4 linked regions of the Sus scrofa genome follow. The main gene of each other region encodes a partner of the protein of the gene in region 4 in a complex. Links are inferred from orthologs where the notes say so. Each region holds a gene or a part of one and is shown on either strand. Other genes may lie near its edges.

Region 1 (4,981 bases), on a different chromosome or scaffold from region 4:
AGTATTACCACCACCATTCCACCAAGTTATTCTTTTTTAATTTTTTTTCTTTTTTATGGCCGCACCTGGGGCATGTGGAAATTCCCAGGCTATGCATTGAATCAGAGCTGCAGCTAAGGCCTATGCCACAGCCAGTGCAACACCGGATCCTCAACTCACTGAATGAGGGCCAGGGATTGAACCCACATCCTCACATACACTATGTCCGGTTCTTAACCCACTGAGCCACAACGGGAACTCCCCACCAAATTATTTTTGATTATGCAACCTGTTTCATTTCCTTCACAGATCTTAAATTTCCTTATATTTATTTAATATTTTAATTACTATAGCTAACATTTAAGCATTCATCATAAGTATTTTTTATACATTAATGAAGTGGTGTGCTACTTATGCTTATTGATGGCTCTCCAAACTCCAAAACTCTGACACACTGTTTGCCAATTTCTGTGGTGTAAACATTCCCATTGATTGGGATTTCAAACTATCAAACTTAAGTCACTAAACATGATTTGGGAAGGCAAGGGCAGAAGTATACCATTATACAGTATTTGCCATAGTGATATAGCAGTGGTAAATAACCTCAAGAGCACAGATAAAACAAGAGTGTAGTAAAATACTTAGCAAGGGATGTTTTGAGTATTTATTACCTTGTTGTTTACACAACTTATTGAATTGTAGGTTTGTATAAGTTAATTTTTGATAATAGCTGAGTTTATTTTTATTTAATTTCAAAAAAGTATTATTAGGAGTACAGTTGATTTACAATGTTGTGTTAGTTTCAGGCATACAGCAAAGTGAATCATTTACACATATAAACACTTTCATTCTTAGATACTTTTTTTTTTTTTTTTAATTTTATGGCTGTACCCGAGGCATATGGAAGCTCCTGGGGAGGGGGATACTGAATCCCAGCCACAGCCGCGGCAATTCAGGATCCTTAATCCACTGAGCAGGGTTGGGGATGGAACCAGCAACACCACAAAGATAAGCCAGATCATTAATCAACTTCTCTTTAACCAACTTTGCCACAGCAGGAACTCCCTTTTTGGTTTATAAAGGAACCTCCATACTATTCTCCATAGTGGCTGTACTAATTTACAGTAATGTCTGTGTTTAAAAGCGGCTGGCAAAATTTCTAAGCATTCTTCAATGGTTTCTAGCTCACTCACAAGGAGCCAAAAACGAGTGCATTTTTAAGGTGAGGGACCTGAGGCACAGAAAAGTTCGGCAACTTGTTCAAGGCCGCAGAGCTAATAAATCTCTGTAATACTCCACAATGTATCCTCAGAACCCATATAGTTGACATTCTACAAATAAGTATGTAGTAAATCAACGAATACATATTTAATACTCTTTGAAAACATAAAAAAGGAAACATTTTAACACTAAAAACATACACACAAGAGTGAAATGAACGTTTCTTTAAAACTCGCTCAACAATTCCAGGATGGTAACTGTCTTCACGTGTCTCCTTTCAGCAGCACCTCAGTGCTATTACAATTCACCTGCTATAGTGGGAGACCTCGCCCAACCCTTTGCTATAAGCTTGAGGCGCCCCGCTTTCCGTCGCCACGCCCTACTTCGCCGCAAGGCCTCCTGGGAGTGGTAGTTCCCAGTTTGGGAGTTTCGTGGGCAGCCGCGAGGCGCGCTGACCCGCAGAACTACAGAGGGCGGTGCACAGACCGCGAGGCTCTTCCGCCTCGCCTTTCCCCTCCTGCCTGCGCGCCCGCCCCAGCTATCATGGCGGCTCCCTTGGCCTTGGTGCTGGTGGTGGCAGTGACTGTGCGGGCAGCCTTGTTTCGCTCCAGTCTGGCCGAGTTCATCTCGGAGCGGGTGGAGGTGGTGTCCCCACTGAGCTCTTGGAAGAGAGGTGAGGCCACCGGCTCGAGTAGGCGTCCAGGCCCCGCCTGTGCGCCTCTGGCCTCTGTGAATGGGAGGCGGGGGCAGTGGCCGCATGTTCAAGATTCTGAGGGAACTCACCAGTTATCGCGTCCTCGAGCGGGCGAGCGGGGCTGCTAAGGGCGGGGGGACGTTGGTTGGTGTGGTGAGGTTGGGGCCGTAGGGGCTGGTCACCTGCGAGATGTAGATATGAGGGGGTGTGTCCCCCTCGGGTCCTGAGCTGAGGGGCGTGGTCTGAGGAAAGATCTGCTTGAGGAAGGGTCGGGATGAGAAAAGGGCGTGCTAAGTGGAGTGAGTTTTGGCGCGAGATCGCTTGTGCGTGGGTGTGTGTGTGTGTGTGGGGGGGGTGCCCCTGAGGGGACCATTCCTGCATAAGCGAGGAGAGTGTGTGAGTGCCCTTATAAACCTTGTCTCAGCCTGGGACTTGCAGTGCAGCTTCTCCTACTATATCTTATTTCTTTTAAGTTCTTCATCAAACATTGTTTTATACTGGAGCCCACAGAGAGCCAGTTTGGACTAAAGAGTCCACAGGCACTCTAATAAGGCAGACAAACAGATATAGTCATTTATGAAAAGTGTACTTCCTGGAGTTCCCATTGTGGCTCAGTGGATAACAACCCAGGTAGTATCCATTAGGAGGGCTCAGGTTCAACACCTGGCCCTCTCTCAGCGGATTAAAGATCCCTCGTTGCTGTGAGGTGCATTGCAGATCGCAGATGTGGCTTGGATATATCTAGTGTTGTTGTGGCTGTGGTGTAGGCCCACAGCTGCAGCTCTGATTTGACCCCTAGCCTGGGAACTTCATATGCAGCAGGTGTGGCCCTAAAAAAAAAAAAAGAAAAAAGAAAGAAAAGTGTACTTCCTGTGTGCCTCCAGTTCCTTCCTTGGAGTTCTGACCCTGAAGAAAGTGTCCTCTCCTTTTCCAGTTTAAGGAATGTGGGATTTGAGCTAACTCTTGAAGGATGTAGAGTGTGAAAAGGGAGATTAGAGGAAGCGGAGTTTCAGGTAGAAGGTTGTCAGGATCAAGACATGTTGAAAGATGTGAAATGCCCAAAGTAGGGGAGTAATGAGGTGGGTGTAAGGTGAAGGCCAGAATTTGAAGATTTTTTTTTCAAAAAACTTTCTTACTGGAATTCCCTGGTGGCACAGCGGGTTAAGGATCTCCTGTTGTTACTGCTGTGGCTGCAGATTTGATCTCTTGCTGGGGAACTTCTGCGGAATGCTGTGGTCATGGACAAGAAAATAAATAAACTTTTCTTACTGAAGTACAATATACAGACAGTGCACATAATAATAAGTGTATAGCTTAAATAATTTACTATACTCATGTAGCCAGCTTGCAGTTCAAGAAACAGAACATTACCAGCAGCCCAGAAATCCCCTTCATGTCCTTGAACTTTTTTTTTGCTAGGTAAAATCTATTTATTTCTCTAGATGTATTTTCTTTTTTTTTTAGTTTGTATGATTTTTGTTTTTTTCATTATAGTTGATTTACAGTGTTCTGTCAATTTCTCCTGTACAGCAAAGTGAACCAGTCATACGTGTATTTATATATTCTTTTTCTCACATTATCCTCCATCATGTTCCATCACAAGGGACTAGATATAGTTTCCTCTGCTATCCAGCAGGATCTCATTGCTTATCCACTCCAAATGCAATAGTTTGCATCATGTCCTCAAACTTCAAATGCTAGAGTTTTTGATGTTATCCCATTGACATTTTGGAATGGGGAGTCGTGTAATGAATGGCTGTTTTATGAATAATTAGAGCTAACTTTTCTAAAAATACTTCCGGAGACTGGTAAGCCTCATTTTATTCTCCAGTTATTCTTGTATTAGATGGCATTATCTTCCTTATTTTACAGATGAAGAAACTGAGATTTGGTGAAGTTAAGTAGTTTGCCCAGGTTCCAGCTGATAAGTGGTAAAAAGGTAGTTGTAGTTCATATGTGTGATGGTAAGAGTTTAGACTTTATATCTTTGCATATGATATTTGCATATAATTATTTGTTGAACAAATTGAATTGTTTGTTGAAATCACTTGGTTCCTGCTTTCTTCTGAATTCCAGAAGATCCAAGGCAGCATTAGACCCTACTTTCTCTACTCTCTCACCACTTAAAACTACTTATGTCCCTCATTTCTACAGACCCACCAGTTGATTTGATAGTACAGCTAAAATTTATACAAATTTCTTGCTTGACAAAATGCAGATGTATGCTTCCAATAAATAATAATAACTAACGCTGGTGTAAAGCTCTCTGCATGCCAGGTACTGTTCTAAGCATTTTAGATGTGTTAAAAAAAAAAAAGCATTTAGTTTCTATAATGGCACTTTATAGATGAGAATATTAAAGTACAGAGATATTGTTATTTGCTGAAAGTCACATGGATAGTAACATTATGTGATTAGCTGGCAATCTTTAGGCATGGCTGTTTTACCAGTGACCACTGTATAGCATCTTGTGTTATGTGTCAAGAATAATTTTAGAACCTTTCTGTCACATTTGATATTTCTTCAGCCTTTGACTTAAAGATTAGTAATTCTTGTAGGCTTAGCTTTTTGAATCAGGGGAGAGCTCAAATTATTAGTGCTTATTTAGAAACCCATCTCCGGCACCACTATGAGTCAGGGTTGGGAGGAACACTTCTGATGGTATTCCTTAAAAAAAGCAAAAAACTAAAAACCACTTTTTTGTTAAATAAATTCAGAATTAGTAAAATACACACAACAATGTGTTACACAGTTCATTTATTTTAAGGCAAACACTTTTAGAATTGTCGTTCAGGTCAAGAATCAGAACACTGCCACTTACTCTAGAAGTCTTTCCCTACACCCGATCTCAATCACAGCCCTTTCATCCCCCATCATAAGTAACCAGTATTCTGATTTTTTTTTTTTTTTTTTTGGTCTTTTTGCCTTTTCTAGGACCACACTCGTGGCATGTGGAGGTTCCCAGGCTAGGGGTCTAATCGGAGCTGTAGCCACCGGCCTACACCAGAGCCACAGCAGCAACATGGGATCTGAGCCTACACCACAGCTCACGGCAATGCTGGATCCTTAACCCACTGAGGCCAGGGA
Region 2 (3,437 bases), on a different chromosome or scaffold from region 4:
TAGGAGTTCCCGTCGTGGCTCAGTGGTTAACGAATCCGACTAGGAACCATGGGGTTTCAGGTTCAATCCCTGGTCTCTGGCACTGCCGTGAGCTGTGGTGTAGGTCACAGACCTGGCTCAGGTCCCGAGTTGTGGCTCTGGGGAAGGCCAGCGGCTACAGCTCCAATTAGACCCCTAGCCTGGGAACCTCCATATGCCTCGGGTGCAGCCCTAGAAAAGACAAAAAAAAAAAGAAACTTGATTAGATTTAGGTCTGCTGTTTTAGGCAAGAAGACTTCCCAGGTGGTTCTGTGGACTTCCTCTTGCATCCCATGAGGCACCTGATGTCTGGTGGCCCAGTTCTGGGGATGCGAAGATGGATTAGGTCAAACACGTCCTGGGATGGCTGCCCTGGAAACATCTTTTCCCTTTTCTGAGATCCTCCTCCCTCCTGTGAGCCTGCCAGGCTTCTGTGATCCAAAGCCCTCCTTCTCAGCACCCCGATCCAGGGCCCGCCCCCGGGCCTCAATAGGTAGGGACAAAAGATGCAGGGGGTCTGAGCCCTGAAAGAGCTGTGGGTGGGCCCTGCCTGTCTCCAGGTTATATCCACTACCAGCCTGCCCGGGACCGGCTGCAGCCCCACCTCCTGGAGATGCTGATTCAGCTGCCAGCCAACTCGGTCACCAAGGTCTCCATCCACTTTGAGCGGGCGCTGCTGAAGTGGACTGAGTACACCCCGGACCCCAACCACGGCTTCTATGTCAGGTGGGCTCCCCCAACGGTCACCTGCGGCCCCCCGGCCTCCTGACCCACCCTCTCCATGGCTTACTGGTGATGGAGGACCCGTGAGGAACATGGCTCATGGAATATCTGTGGGCTTCTCTGCAGCCCTTCTGTCCTCAGCGCCCTCGTGCCCAGCGTGGTGGCCGCCAAACCCGTGGACTGGGACGAGAGCCCCCTCTTCAACACGCTGTAAGTGTGACCTCAGCTGCCGGTGACCGGGAGGCACCAGCACAGAGGGTCAGGTTCCCACAGGGTGGCCTGGGGCTAGATGTTGCCTCTTCCAAAGTCTTGTGTAGATTTACTCAGTCCCAACTAAAACCCTTGGGGTCCATATTTGTACAACCGTTATGAAATGATCCTAAAGTGCCTCTAGGAGAATTAGCTGGTGAGACGAGCAGTACGTATAGCCCACATTTCCTCATCGATTCTCTTAACAAATATTTAATTGAGCGCTTATCAGCTGCCAGGAACTTCAGAGAGCACTGGGTGTGCAGTGGTGAAGAAAGCAAACTTGCCGCCGCCCTGCTTGTGCTCACAGGCTAGAGGGGACGGGCTGTTCCAGAGGGTGATGGGCTCGGGGTTACTGGGGAGTAAGCTGGTGGGTCATCCAGGAGGGCTTCTTTGAGGAGATGGCCTTTAGGCTGAGACCAGAAGGCCAAGGGAGAGGCAGTGGCAGCCAAGGGAGGACAGGGTCCCTTTCCTCTCCCTCAGCACAGCCTAGCTCTCCTTTGATCACATTTATGCATTGAGCTTTAAAAGGCTCTGAGGCTTTGCAATATTCTGAAAATTAAAATAAATAAATAAATAAATAAATAGAGTTCCTGTTGTGGCGCAGCGGATCACGAACCTGACTAGTATCCAAGAGGATGCGGGTTCGATCCCTGGCCTTGCTCAGTGGGTCAGAGATCCTGTGTTGTCCTGAGCTGTGGTGTAGGTCGCAGACGCGGCTCAGATCCCGTGTTGCTGCTGTGGCTCAGGTGTAGGCCGGCGGCTGTAACTCTGATTCGACTCCCTTGCCTGGGAACCTCCATATGCCATGTATGTGGCCTAAAAAAAAAAAAAAAAAAGGCTCTGAGGCTAAGAAAGCGTTGAAAACCCTTACCAGGGAGATGGGCTCAGGGCAGCCCAAGGCGGGGAGGTAGGGGGGTTCGATGGGGAGGAGCAGCCGGTCCTGCCTCACGCCCTGCTTGGCCGCCGCAGCTTCCCAGTCTCCGACGGCTCCAGCCACTTCGTGCGGCTCTACACGGAGCCGCTGCTGGTGAACCTGCCCACCCCGGACTTCAGCATGCCCTACAACGTCATCTGCCTCACGTGCACCGTGGTGGCCGTGTGCTACGGCTCCTTCTACAATCTCCTCACCCGAACCTTCCACATCGAGGAGCCCAGAACGGGCGGCCTGGCGAAGCGGCTGGCCAACCTGATCCGGCGCGCCCGGGGCGTCCCGCCGCTCTGAGACCCCGCACGCCGCCCGGCTGCCGCATCTCCCTGTCTTGCTGCCACCTGCTCTCCGCAGAGGTGGCTTCGGAACCACATGGACCCCTGGACTGGGCCAGGGCCCAGAGCTGCACTGTGCAGTGCGGGAAGCATGAGCGGAGACATGGCATTTGACTTTAATTTAAATTGAAAGTGCGTTTCCTCAGCTGTTCCAGCCACATTTCAAGGGCTCGGTCACCAAAACTGATGAGTGACCGCTGTACCGGCGGCTCGACAAGTGTTTCCATCATCCCAGAAGGTTCTGTGGGTCAGCCCTGGCCTGGATCACTGGGCAAGCTCAAGAATTGGTTATCACTGTGTGGGAGGTGGAATTTACTGGTTGTGGAATAAAAAGTGTCTACATCCTTGGTTCTTTGCCTCCTGTCCTTGAGGCCTGGGAGGCGCTGGGGACTAGGGCTTGTTTGCTGGGTTCCTGAACAGGACCTTCCACAACCAACCAACAGAAAGACAACCAAGCAACCAAATAAAACTCGCCTACCTCCTGCCACTCCTGCCAGCAGCTCCCCCTGTGTCCTGCTTCCCTCTTCCCCCACCAACCTCATCTCACTGTAATTCCCAGAACTCCCTGGGTTTGTCTGGGAGTGTTTATGTCAGCATCTCCATGACCGTGAAAGTGAATCATCTTGTGCCTTTTAGGAGCCCTGAGAACCATCCCCTATCTCCAAGGCTGGGGCTGGAGAGACAGAAAAGCTCCGGGTGGTGGTTTTCCAACCAAACTGTATTGGAATCATTTGGGGCTCCTGTGAATTAATGAGGATTCCTGAGGTCCAGGCCCTGTGAAGTCAGTTGGGCTGGGTGTAGCCCAGCCTTCAGCGATTTTTATCAGGCCCCTCAGGAGCTTGTGTTGTGGGTGGTCCCTAGACCACCCACTGGCTTTGAAGGCCTTGGATTGAAGCCTGCTGCTGCCCACCCCTTCCGGGTTGTATAACCCTGGATTCCTGTAAATCAAGTCCTTAGGCAGATGTCTGCCCTGCCCCCTCCTCCTGTCTCTTCCTCTGACAACACTTGGCATCCACTATATGTTACTTACGGTCTGGGTCTGCCACCCCTCCTTCCCCCACTTCTTTTTTTTTTTTTTTTAGGGCCACACCAGCAGCATATGGAGGTTCCCAGGCTAGAGGCGGAACTGGAGCTACAGCTGCCCACCTACGCCACAGCCATAGCAATGCCAGATCTGAGCA
Region 3 (5,075 bases), on a different chromosome or scaffold from region 4:
AGCTCCTCACCGGTGGGTGTTGTGTGGAAGCGCCAGGCCAGCTGCATAGACAGCCAGCAGCGTCAGCACCACGGCCTCGGCCTCAGCCACGGGGAAGTGCTGGGCGGCCACATGTTGACCCAGCACCGGCAGGAGGTAGAGGGCCAGGCCCACCGCCTGGGAGATCAGCAAGGGCGCCACAAGCGAGGCCAGCCCCACACTCTGCAGGGCACACAGGCACTTGGAGACAGGCCCCGGGGCCGGGGGAGTCCCAAGGATCCTCCCTCCACCTGCCAGCCGAGACGGAGTGGCAGCCCCCCCAACAACAGGAGCAGGGGGACAGTCACCTGTGTTGGCGGGAAGGGAGGACTGGATCCGGCGGTCCCCCCAGCCTCCTGGGGACCCACGCCAGCCTCATGCAGCTGCATCCACAGTTCCAGAGCGTGGCCTGGTCAAGGATCCTGAGAGGTGTGATGAGGTCTGCTGGGTGGGGGACCCAGGCCCTACGCCCACTCGCCACCCCTGCTCCCCCCGAGTGGAGGGCCCCAGAGTGGAGGGGACCTGAGGTCGGCTCCAACAGCGAGAGGCAGAGGATATCTTGAGACCAAGGACCAGGAGCAGAAAGCCGGCGGCCGGCATGTAGAGGCCAATGGAGACGAAGCGGGAGAGCGCGGGCAGCAGGTAGAAGAAGAAGGACTGATGCAGACGCTCCAGGAGGTGGTTGAGCTTGCGGAACATGCCCTCCAGAGCCCTGCCGGGTGCGGTCACGGTCACGGTCACGGTCACGGCCATGGCACGCCAGACCCCCGGCACCCACCCCTCGGCCCGGGCGTGCAAGGGGAGGCTGGAAGCACTTACTTGCCCACTGCCACCAGGTCGTACTTGTACTGGCGGAAGCTATTGATGCCACGGAGAGTTAGAGCCTCCACGCGGTAGCGCAGGAAGAGGCCGTGGGGGCCGTGGGGGCGGCCAGAGGCCTGTTGCAGAACCATGAGTAGCAGTGTCTGCACACTCTGCAGTGGCCTGTCTACTGATGTCCAGTCCTGGGGCTGCAGCTTAGAGGTGTGGGAACAAGGTCAGATAAACTCTACACACAGGCCCCGTGCTCCCCAGGCGGGTGGCCGTACCTTGCCCTGCAGTGTGCACAGCAGGCCCCCTTTCTGGCAGAAAGTCTGGAAGAGGTTGAGCAGGTCCAAGTTGGGCAGCTGCCCGTTGAGCCCCTCCACAGCCACGTCCAGGCTGGTGATCACATCACTGCTTAGCTCCAAGGCCACAGCCACCTGGATGGCCCCCGCCCGGCCCTGCAGAGCGGAGGACTGCATACCTGTGGGAGCAGGTGAAGGAGCTGCCAACAAGGGGCTGTTGGGGGGGGGGGGCTGGCCTCAGAGGGGCAGGGCAGGGACACACCAGTGACATTGACGTCGTGGTAGGCTTCAAGCCAGGCCTCAGTGCCCAGGAGGTCGTGTTCTGTCACCAGGAAGATGATGTCTTTGGCCCAGTAGATCTGCCCTGGAGGCCAGAGGCTGGGTCAGCAGGGCCTGGGGAAGTGGCCAAACCCTCCCTTGCCAGCAGTCGCCCTTAAGCCTCACCCCGGAAGTGGGCAGCAAGTGCCAGCAGCAGCCCGACAGCCTGGCTGTTGGTAGAGTCAGAGCCGCAGGGGACGGTAAGCACCAGGGACTCTGTGCTGGCGGCGCGCGGGGCCCGGAGGATGCCGTAAACGTTCACGCCTGACACCATCTGCGTGCAGTATTGGGGGAGCCTCAGCAGGACCCCACTCGACGAAGCTGAAGCCCCACTTTTTTTGGGGGTCTTTTTAGGGCCACGGGTGCAGCGTATGGAGATTCCCAGGCTAGGGGTCGAATCAGAGCTGTAGCCTCTGGCCTACGCTACAGTCACAACCATGCCAGATCCAGGCCACGTCTGCAACCTACACCACGGCTCAGGGCAACGCCCGATCCTTAACCCACTGAGCGAAGCCAGGGGTCGAACCCACAACCTCCTGGATCCTAGCCAGATTCATTTCAGCTATGCACGACGGGAACTCCAAGCCCCACCTCTTTAGTCCTAGAATGCCCACCAATGATTTCTCTGGACCCAGGACATCTCCCTCCCCTTCAAGGTGCTTTTTGGTCGCAAGCACACCCCCTCCACCACAATACATAGCGCTCGTGGGTCTCATCTGGAAAGGGCAGTTTCCGGGAGAAACTCTGCGTGTAGACCTCCAGCCCCACTGACCGCATCGTCCGCTCCAGCCAAGCCACTGGCAGGGCCCTAAAGACACAAAGAGATCTTCTGAGCAGAGCTCTCTGGCTTTGACTGGTATTGCTTCCAGCGTACGCATGGCTCTGCCGCTCACCCCGTCTTCCTGCGGTGAGCAGCGAAGTCCCGGGCAAAGCTCCGGGCACGGTCTCCGCCCGAAAATTGCTCCTCCACCATAGTGGAGCCTATGGCGTTCTCCGACATGTAAGTGCGCTGGGTCAGCGGCGGGAAAGCCAGCGCCAGGAACCAGGCGATGCCCGCCACGTAGCTCAGCACACTGCGGGGAGAGGGGCGGAGGGGGCCGCTGGAGCATTAGCAGGCTCCGAGATGCCAGCCCGTAGCCTCTACCTCCGCACTGGGGGGGTGGAGGCGTCATATCTGTGGGACCTGGATCCCGAGTCCCAGCACCCGGGACGCCGGACGGGAGGGCTGAGCCCCAGGCCTGGTGCCCCGAGTGATGCCGGTGGGCGGGAGAAGACTGGCGCGAGCACCCGGAGGGGCCCCGGCAGCTCGAGCCCCGGTCCTCCGGCCCCCGCTCCCAGGCACCCCCCTCACCAGAGCGGCGCGTTGAGGCGCAGCACCAGGCGGGCGAGCGCGCGCCGGCGCACCGGGTCCGACAGGAGGCCCATGGCAGGGCCGGGCGGCTCCGGGACCGCGCTCCCCGCTGCCAGCTACGGCACCCGGCCCGGCGCGCCGCTCCGGTCCCCGCGGGGCTCCGCGCCCACCCGCACTTCCGGTCCCGGCGGGCCTCGCGCCGCTGCGCGTGCGCGATGCCGCCCGTCGCGCCCCCACCCCGCAAGCCCCGAGCAGAGCTGCTGGGAAGGGAGTTGCCCCCGCGTCTGCGTTTCCTCGCTGGCGCAGAACGGGAGCAGCCTCCAGGCCGGCCGACCGCGGCGTGTGGCGCCGGAGGGCAATGAAGACTGACTAGTCGAGAACGCTCGGCTCGAAGGAGAATCGGGATGATGAATGGGGCAGGTGGGAGGAAAACCGGAAGCAGCGACCAGAGCGTAGACACTGGAAGATGTCTGAAGATGCTGCTGCCACTGACAACGACAGGCTTGAGTGCCCTCGCGGGAAGTGAAGGGGCTTCTGTGAGCTGAGGCCAAGGCGATGGCGGACCTATTCCTGTGAATGTCGGTCACCAAAAAACAGCAGTAGGGGCCCGAGTGGAATCACGTATTGTGCCCAGAACCAAGGTCAGTGGGGCCAGATGACCACAGGAAGGAAGGTGCATGAATACTGCTGGCCAAAAGGGGTTGCAAAGGAGCTTGGGTGTGTGGAATAGAAAATGGGGAGCCCGCCTGTCCAGGCCAGGTATCTGGGATATTAGAAAAGTAGTCCCTGAGTTCAGACAGCAGGGGCTGGTGGTCAGGGCTCAGGCAGGTCTGACAGCAGGAGGCAGAAAGAGATTTGGAAGGAAGGTGCAACCATGGGTTGGGGAGTGTCTGGGTCAGACTGAGAAAGGGCCAGAGCCAAGATCATGTCGCTGTTGTACTTTCAGAGCTCAAGATAAGCCACAGGACAAGCTCAAGGGATTCTGGGGGGAAAGGGACCATTCAGTCCAAGACATAATCCAGAGGATGTGGGAGGTGCCCCCCCATCACCTTGGTGGCACCCATAGCCAAAGGAGTTCTCCCTCAGCACTTGTGCTCAAGGCCCTGGATGTGCTGCAGTGAGAATCAGACTCCACAGTATGAGGGCTTGGCTCATTACACCAGGCCTTGCCACATTGCTCAGCTGTCTTGAACCCTTCATGACACAAGCGCCTCTCTTCACCCAGGGACACCCACCGCCCCCTTCCTCAGGGTTGGAATCCTGAGGCTGCAAGGGTTACGCAGTTCACGCGTAGGGAGCACCCTTTGTCGCCCCTGGAGCCAGCTCCGGGCCGGGCTCTGAGGGCACGGAGGTGCTTTGGGGAGATCAAAGTACAGTGGACTGAGCGCGTGTGAGTTTTATTCTGGGCCTGGGCGGCCGTGTACTCAGTCCCCCAGCAAGATCGAGGCCTCTTGTACGTGTTGCCGGACCACACGGTCCAGTACGGTGTGCACATCTCGGGCGGCCTGGGCAGCGGCCTCTAGCACCTGCTCCAGGTGGTCCTCATGAAGCCTTGCATCCATCTCCAGCAGTGCGATCTGGCCTGAGGCTGGCAGCAGGGCCAGGGCCAGCTGGGGGCCACCAGCTGCTTCCTCCACATGGCTGAGGTCTGCCAGGGCTGTCCCATCCACAAAGCCAGCTGAGCAGGCACATACAAAGTCCCGCATGGGTATCCCGGCGTCCAGCACTGCCAGTGTGGCCACGTTCACACAAGCCGCATAGATCCCACCATCTGCCTGCAGCACCTGCAGTGACACCCCCCCCCAGTGGTGTCAGTCCATTAGGCTGCTGATGCCCGACCCCCACCCCCTCCTTCTCTCTCCCCTCCGCAGCTGACGGCTGCTGCCTGCTCACCTGCACGTAGATATCAATCTGGGAGCGAGGATGCAGCTGTGTAAGGATGGCTGCCTCAAAGGCTTGACGCAGCTGCAGGCCCATCTCGCAGGACTTTCGGTCCCCATGTGGCCGCCGCTTGCGCTCACCTGTGCTGAAGGTCGCAGAACTGTACTGACAGTTCACCAAGGCCCTGTCCGGCAGGGCTCGTGATCGCGAGCCCCGGATCTAGGGTGGGGGGGAAGGACACGTGAGCCAGGCCCACTCCTCCCAGCTCATGCTACCCCTTCCTCTGCTGCATGTCCTGAGCCTTGGCCTCCCTGCCTCCTTCCGTCCTTCCCTCTACCTCCAGCATCTCAACAAGCAACTACTTCACCTCCAAAACACGACCTAAGGGAGGGCTGCTGGGC
Region 4 (4,330 bases):
TAATAAATTCCCTATGGGTGACGCGGCTGGTGAATGCAGTTCTAGAGGGAGCCATAAGGAAACTAGCTTTTTAGGACATATTGACAAAACCCCCAAACTGGACACCAGGGAGGAAAAGTAAACCCTGGAACCCTATGTATGCACAGAAATTTCCTAGCAAATCAGCAGTCTCTAAGAGACCACACCTGTAAATGCGAAACACGGAGGGACTTGCAAAAGGATGGCACAACCCGGAAAAGGGCTCAACGTGCTCCCAGGCTCACCTGAGAGTCCACTGAGAAGTTGCCTGCAGCACTGAGGGCATTCAGGAAGGGCTGCACAAAGCGCCGGACAGCCCCCTCAATGTCCCAGTGGACGTCATGGGACTTGGGGTCAGGGTTGAGTAAACTGAAGGTGATTTCGTAGCCTGTAGAAACAGGAGTCAGGGAAGCCAGAGGCTTCTGAGCATCAAAGGAGGCAGCCTGTACCCCTGGCGGAGCTGCACTTGCTTCTCCTCTGGAATGGGAGTGGGGCTGGTGGCCATCATGAAACCAAAGGGAGGATAAAACTGGGATGAGGGACACGGAGTGCTTTCAGAAAAAGATGAAGCCACGGAAGACAGGAGTGAAGCGTCTGCATGCAGATTCCCCTCCTGTCCCCATGTCTCCACATCACTCACTTCCCTCTCCCTTCCCATGGCAGAGCCCGGTCACCCTACCCAAGCTGGACTTGAGGGGCCGCCTCTTATCAGAGCTCCACTTGTCCTCTGGAAGGTGGTCGGCCAGAGCCGCAGCGAGCACGTCCTCCGTCAGAGACATGGCCTGGGCGACCTGGATGATGCGGCGGCCGATGATGTTGAAGGCCTCCCGGTGCGTGATCCCCCGCACGACCGCGGTCCTCTTGGGCCCGATGTAGCTCATCATGTCCTGCGAGGGGCAAGCAGGGGCCAGGATGCCCACGGCTCAGGGAAGAAAGCAGAAGAGCACCCAGGCTCCTGTCTGAGAATCTGGCCTTCTGCCGCTGCCCAATAGGCCTGCACCTCTTTCTAGAGTCATAGTAAACCACCATCACAGCTTTTCTGAGCTCTGGGTATATCTGAGTGTTTTCCTTGATTTCAGTTGCCTCTCTTTCCCATCAACCCAGGTCCAGGCAATATCTACATCTTCCCAGGCTGGAAACTAAGAGACAGCATGCTGAGCAAGAAGAAACAAGCAGCAAGGAAGTTTGACACGTGGCAAAGAGGCAAGTACAGGAATTTTCACAGCAGCATTATTTTAGTTTAACACCAGAGACAACCCAAATGCCTGTCAGCAAGTGAATGGATAAACTGGGATATGTTTATACAATGAAACAGTAGACAGAATTTAAAATGAACCCATCAGGGCTTCCCTGGTGGCTTGGCAGGTAAAGGACCTGGCGTTGTCATTGCTGTGATGTGGGTTCAGTCCGTGGCCTGGGAACTCGCGCATGCCACAGGCGTGGCCCAAAATAATATGAATGCATTAGATGCAACTGCATATATTATCGTGGATGATTCAAGCGTAAATGTCGAGCAAAATGAAAAACCAAAGAACGTGTGCTATATTTTACCATTTATATAAACTTTAAAAACATGTAAAATTAAATATATTATTGATAGAGATACAACATACATGATAAAACTTGAAAGAAAAGTAAGAAAATCGCACATACAAAATATGGCCACCATGGGCTGAAAGGGAACAGGGTATAACCATGGAGCTGCATGAGTCTATATTGTAGTTTGCAAATTTGGGAGCGGGTGCATGGACAGTCATTAAAGTTTTCTTTCGGGAGTTGCCCTTGAGGTTCAGCAGTTACGAACCTGACTAGTATGCGTGAGGTTGCGGGTCTGATCCCTGGCCCGCCCAATGGGTTAAGGATCTGGGGTTGCCTTGAGCTGTGGTGTAGGTGGCACACGGGACTCGGATCTTGTGTTGCTGTAGCTGTGGCAAAGGCCGGCAGCTGCAGCTTTGATGTGACCCCTAGCCTGGGAACTTCTATATGCCACGGGTGCAGCCCTAAAATAAATAAATAAACAAATAAACAAATAAATTAAAAAAAAAAAAAAACTTCTACAGCAAATGGAAGGCAGCAATACTGCAAGGAGGAGACTTAGGAGAGGACGAGCTGAAAGGATACGGCAGGACCGCAGCCTCTCTGCTCATCTCACCTTGGGGAGAAGTGGGGAGTGCTCTGAGATCACATACACTGTCAGGGAGCCCTCGGCTTGCTCCAGCGGCTCAGCTAACATGGTTTCAGCCTCTGTGGACAAGAGCAGGTAGTGTACCAGGTCATCCTCTGGCCCCCACACAGCACCTAACCCATCACTCTACCTCCCGCTCACACCCAGCTGACACTGTGGCCAGGCTTGGCCCTCAGGGGCCCAGGCTGAGCCACAAGGTGTCTCATTCCCAGCTCTCCCAGAGAGAGTTTGGAGTTAAGACAAGGTATGGAAACTACACACTTCGAGATCAGAAGGGAAAAGAGGGGTTCCTATTAAAATGATTAGTCCTTTGGGTACCTTGTACACTGCCCGATGAGAGGGCCTCCTCCTCATGGTCCAAAGCCCTCCGATAGGCCTTCTGGAAACGGCATTTGATTTTCAGTTTGTCTGAGAGAAAAGGAAGAAGCATGTTGAGAAGAGCAAGCATCAGACCTCTGCCTACCTTTCCAGCCCTAACACTGCACGGTATCTAAAGACAGTAAGATAATTGTTTGCAGAGAAACACCAAGAAGCTACAGCCCATTCTAATGATTTCTGCATGGATGATATAAACACAGGACACTCCACCTCTTCCACCTGCCCAGCTCTTGCCTCTGCCTGTGTACACACTACCTTCAACCTCAAGTACCCTCCCACTGGGAAATCTATTACAATATTCATGACCTGAATAGGTAATAGGAGAAAAACCATATGATCATTTCAATAGGTGCCTCAATATAATTAACCTCAGTGAACATTCTTGATAAAAACAAGACAAAACACTAAATATAATTTCATTAAAATTAACGGAATTTCCCCAGTGGCTCAGTGGGTTAAGGATACGGCATTATCACTGCTGTGGCTTGGGTTGTTGCTGTGGCATGGGTTTGATCCCTAGCCACTTCCACATGCCTCAGGCACAGCGAAAAAAATATCCATAATAAAACAAAGATGCCTGCTAACTCCTCTCTTACTCAGTACTGCTCTTTCTGAAGTTCTTCACCAATGGAGTAAATGAAAAGAGAGTAACGTGAACATTTGAAAGAAAGGCAAAATGGACACTTTTGCAAAAGCCTAATAATTTTCTATGAGGATCAGAAAGAACTGGAGTTCCCTGGTGGCTCAGCAGATCAAGGATCCAGCTTTGTCACTGCTGTGGCTCATATTGCTGATGTGGCACAGGTCCATTCCCTGGCCTGGGAACTTCCGCATGGCATGGGAGTGCCACAAAAATTAAAAAATAATTAAAAAATAAACAAGTGAAATCAAAGACAACCAACTAAAAAATAATTGCAAGAATATGCAAGAACAACAGCTTTTTGATAAATATCAGCAAGAGCCAATTTATAAAGTATTTTTAAAAATACCAGTCACAGGAGTTCCCGTTGTGGCACAGTGGTTAACAAATCTGACTAGGAACCATGAGGTTGCGGGTTTGATCCCTGGCCTTGCTCAGTGGGTTAAGGATCCAGCATTGCTCTGAGCTGTGGTGTAGGTTGCAGACTCAGCTCAGATCTGTCGTTGCTGTGGCTGTGGCGTAGGCCAGCGGCTACAGCTTGGATTAGATCCCTAGCCTGGGAACCTTCATATGCCCCGGGTACGGCCCTGGAAAAGACAAAAACAGGACTTTACTCAATGACATAGAAGATCTAAATAAAATAGAAAACACATACAAAGCTCCTTGATGGCAAGAGTAAATAGTCTAAGGATGTCAATTCTCTTCATTAATCTAAATGTGTAAAGCAATCTCAAAGGATTTTTTTTTTCTTTGCTGCCTGGAATTTGATAAGCTGAACCTAAAATTTATTGGGAAAGTTCTTCTTTATAAAAAAAAAATTCCAGGTCATATATGCAGAAAAAAATGGCAGAATTTAAAAGTTGTCCTTTTGCTACATAATGAAATGGATTCCAGTATCAACAGATGCTAAAACCATCAGGTAAAAGGTTGACAGGGAATAAAATATAGGGAAAAAAAAAAAAAATCACCTTTTTTTTTTTTTTTTTAACAGCCACACCTGTGGTATATGGAAGTTCCCAGGTCAGGGGTCGTATCAGAGCTGCAGCTGAGGCCCATGCCACAGCCATGGCAACACGGATCCAAGCCGCATGTGTAACTGATGCTGCAAT

What was found.
Region 1: the proteins of PIGS (region 4) and PIGU are in contact, whole or in part, in a cryo-EM structure (PDB 8IMX), measured with the Homo sapiens proteins. The link is inferred for Sus scrofa from reciprocal best matches to the Homo sapiens genes PIGS and PIGU. Residues at the interface, in NP_149975.1 of Homo sapiens: Ala4, Gly5, Ala8, Thr9, Glu12, Arg15, Arg18, Ala19, Phe22, Phe23, Val26, Leu30, Leu34, Trp35, Thr38, Thr39, Leu510, Leu511, Phe513, Ile521, Tyr522, Leu525, Phe526; in NP_536724.1 of Homo sapiens: Gln118, Phe282, Glu283, His284, Phe285, Leu287, Phe288, Phe289, Cys291, Val292, Phe293, Ile295, Phe299, Tyr300, Ile302, Pro303, Ile306, Lys307, Lys309, Glu310, Thr417, His418.
Region 2: the proteins of PIGS (region 4) and PIGT are in contact, whole or in part, in a cryo-EM structure (PDB 8IMY), measured with the Homo sapiens proteins. The link is inferred for Sus scrofa from reciprocal best matches to the Homo sapiens genes PIGS and PIGT. Residues at the interface, in NP_149975.1 of Homo sapiens: Thr9, Glu12, Val13, Gly16, Ala19, Ala20, Phe23, Thr230, Pro238, Lys239, Tyr244, Ile247, Glu248, Val251, Gln256, Val270, Asp271, Ser272, Gln273, Ile274, Tyr276, Tyr277, Met279, Ser309, Arg310, Ser313, Ser314, Ala315, Ala316, Phe513; in NP_057021.2 of Homo sapiens: Pro26, Arg27, Val63, Ser64, His65, Tyr66, Arg67, Lys71, Gln75, Lys79, Tyr80, Val133, Gly136, Lys191, Leu193, Pro194, Cys195, Ser196, Lys198, Ala199, Glu270, Pro271, Pro273, Leu274, Tyr526, Ile529, Cys530, Cys533, Val536, Ala537.
Region 3: PIGS (region 4) and GPAA1 share a complex: the UniProt entries of both Homo sapiens proteins name them as parts of the GPI-anchor transamidase complex. The link is inferred for Sus scrofa from reciprocal best matches to the Homo sapiens genes PIGS and GPAA1.

The regions. Positions count from the first base shown.
Region 1 is NC_010459.5:38,077,825-38,082,805, reverse strand, and holds the start of PIGU (phosphatidylinositol glycan anchor biosynthesis class U protein precursor), read left to right. Parts: upstream 1-1,743; coding exon 1,744-1,873; intron 1,874-4,981. UniProt on the Homo sapiens protein: Component of the glycosylphosphatidylinositol-anchor (GPI-anchor) transamidase (GPI-T) complex that catalyzes the formation of the linkage between a proprotein and a GPI-anchor and participates in GPI anchored protein biosynthesis.
Region 2 is NC_010459.5:47,747,449-47,750,885, forward strand, and holds the end of PIGT (GPI transamidase component PIG-T), read left to right. Parts: intron 1-578; coding exon 579-744; intron 745-867; coding exon 868-951; intron 952-1,962; coding exon 1,963-2,215; 3' UTR 2,216-2,604; downstream 2,605-3,437. UniProt on the Homo sapiens protein: Component of the glycosylphosphatidylinositol-anchor (GPI-anchor) transamidase (GPI-T) complex that catalyzes the formation of the linkage between a proprotein and a GPI-anchor and participates in GPI anchored protein biosynthesis.
Region 3 is NC_010446.5:615,277-620,351, forward strand, and holds the start of GPAA1 (glycosylphosphatidylinositol anchor attachment 1 protein), read right to left. Parts: upstream 2,999-5,075; 5' UTR 2,868-2,998; coding exon 2,794-2,867; intron 2,516-2,793; coding exon 2,336-2,515; intron 2,251-2,335; coding exon 2,139-2,250; intron 1,717-2,138; coding exon 1,569-1,716; intron 1,489-1,568; coding exon 1,387-1,488; intron 1,304-1,386; coding exon 1,107-1,303; intron 1,035-1,106; coding exon 838-1,034; intron 731-837; coding exon 577-730; intron 423-576; coding exon 327-422; intron 202-326; coding exon 11-201; intron 1-10. Other genes in the region: EXOSC4 (exosome complex component RRP41), read right to left, coding at 4,218-4,577, 4,687-4,893. UniProt on the Homo sapiens protein: Component of the glycosylphosphatidylinositol-anchor (GPI-anchor) transamidase (GPI-T) complex that catalyzes the formation of the linkage between a proprotein and a GPI-anchor and participates in GPI anchored protein biosynthesis. Binds GPI-anchor.
Region 4 is NC_010454.4:44,814,631-44,818,960, forward strand, and holds part of PIGS (GPI transamidase component PIG-S), read right to left. Parts: intron 2,612-4,330; coding exon 2,522-2,611; intron 2,263-2,521; coding exon 2,171-2,262; intron 906-2,170; coding exon 698-905; intron 407-697; coding exon 264-406; intron 1-263. UniProt on the Homo sapiens protein: Component of the glycosylphosphatidylinositol-anchor (GPI-anchor) transamidase (GPI-T) complex that catalyzes the formation of the linkage between a proprotein and a GPI-anchor and participates in GPI anchored protein biosynthesis.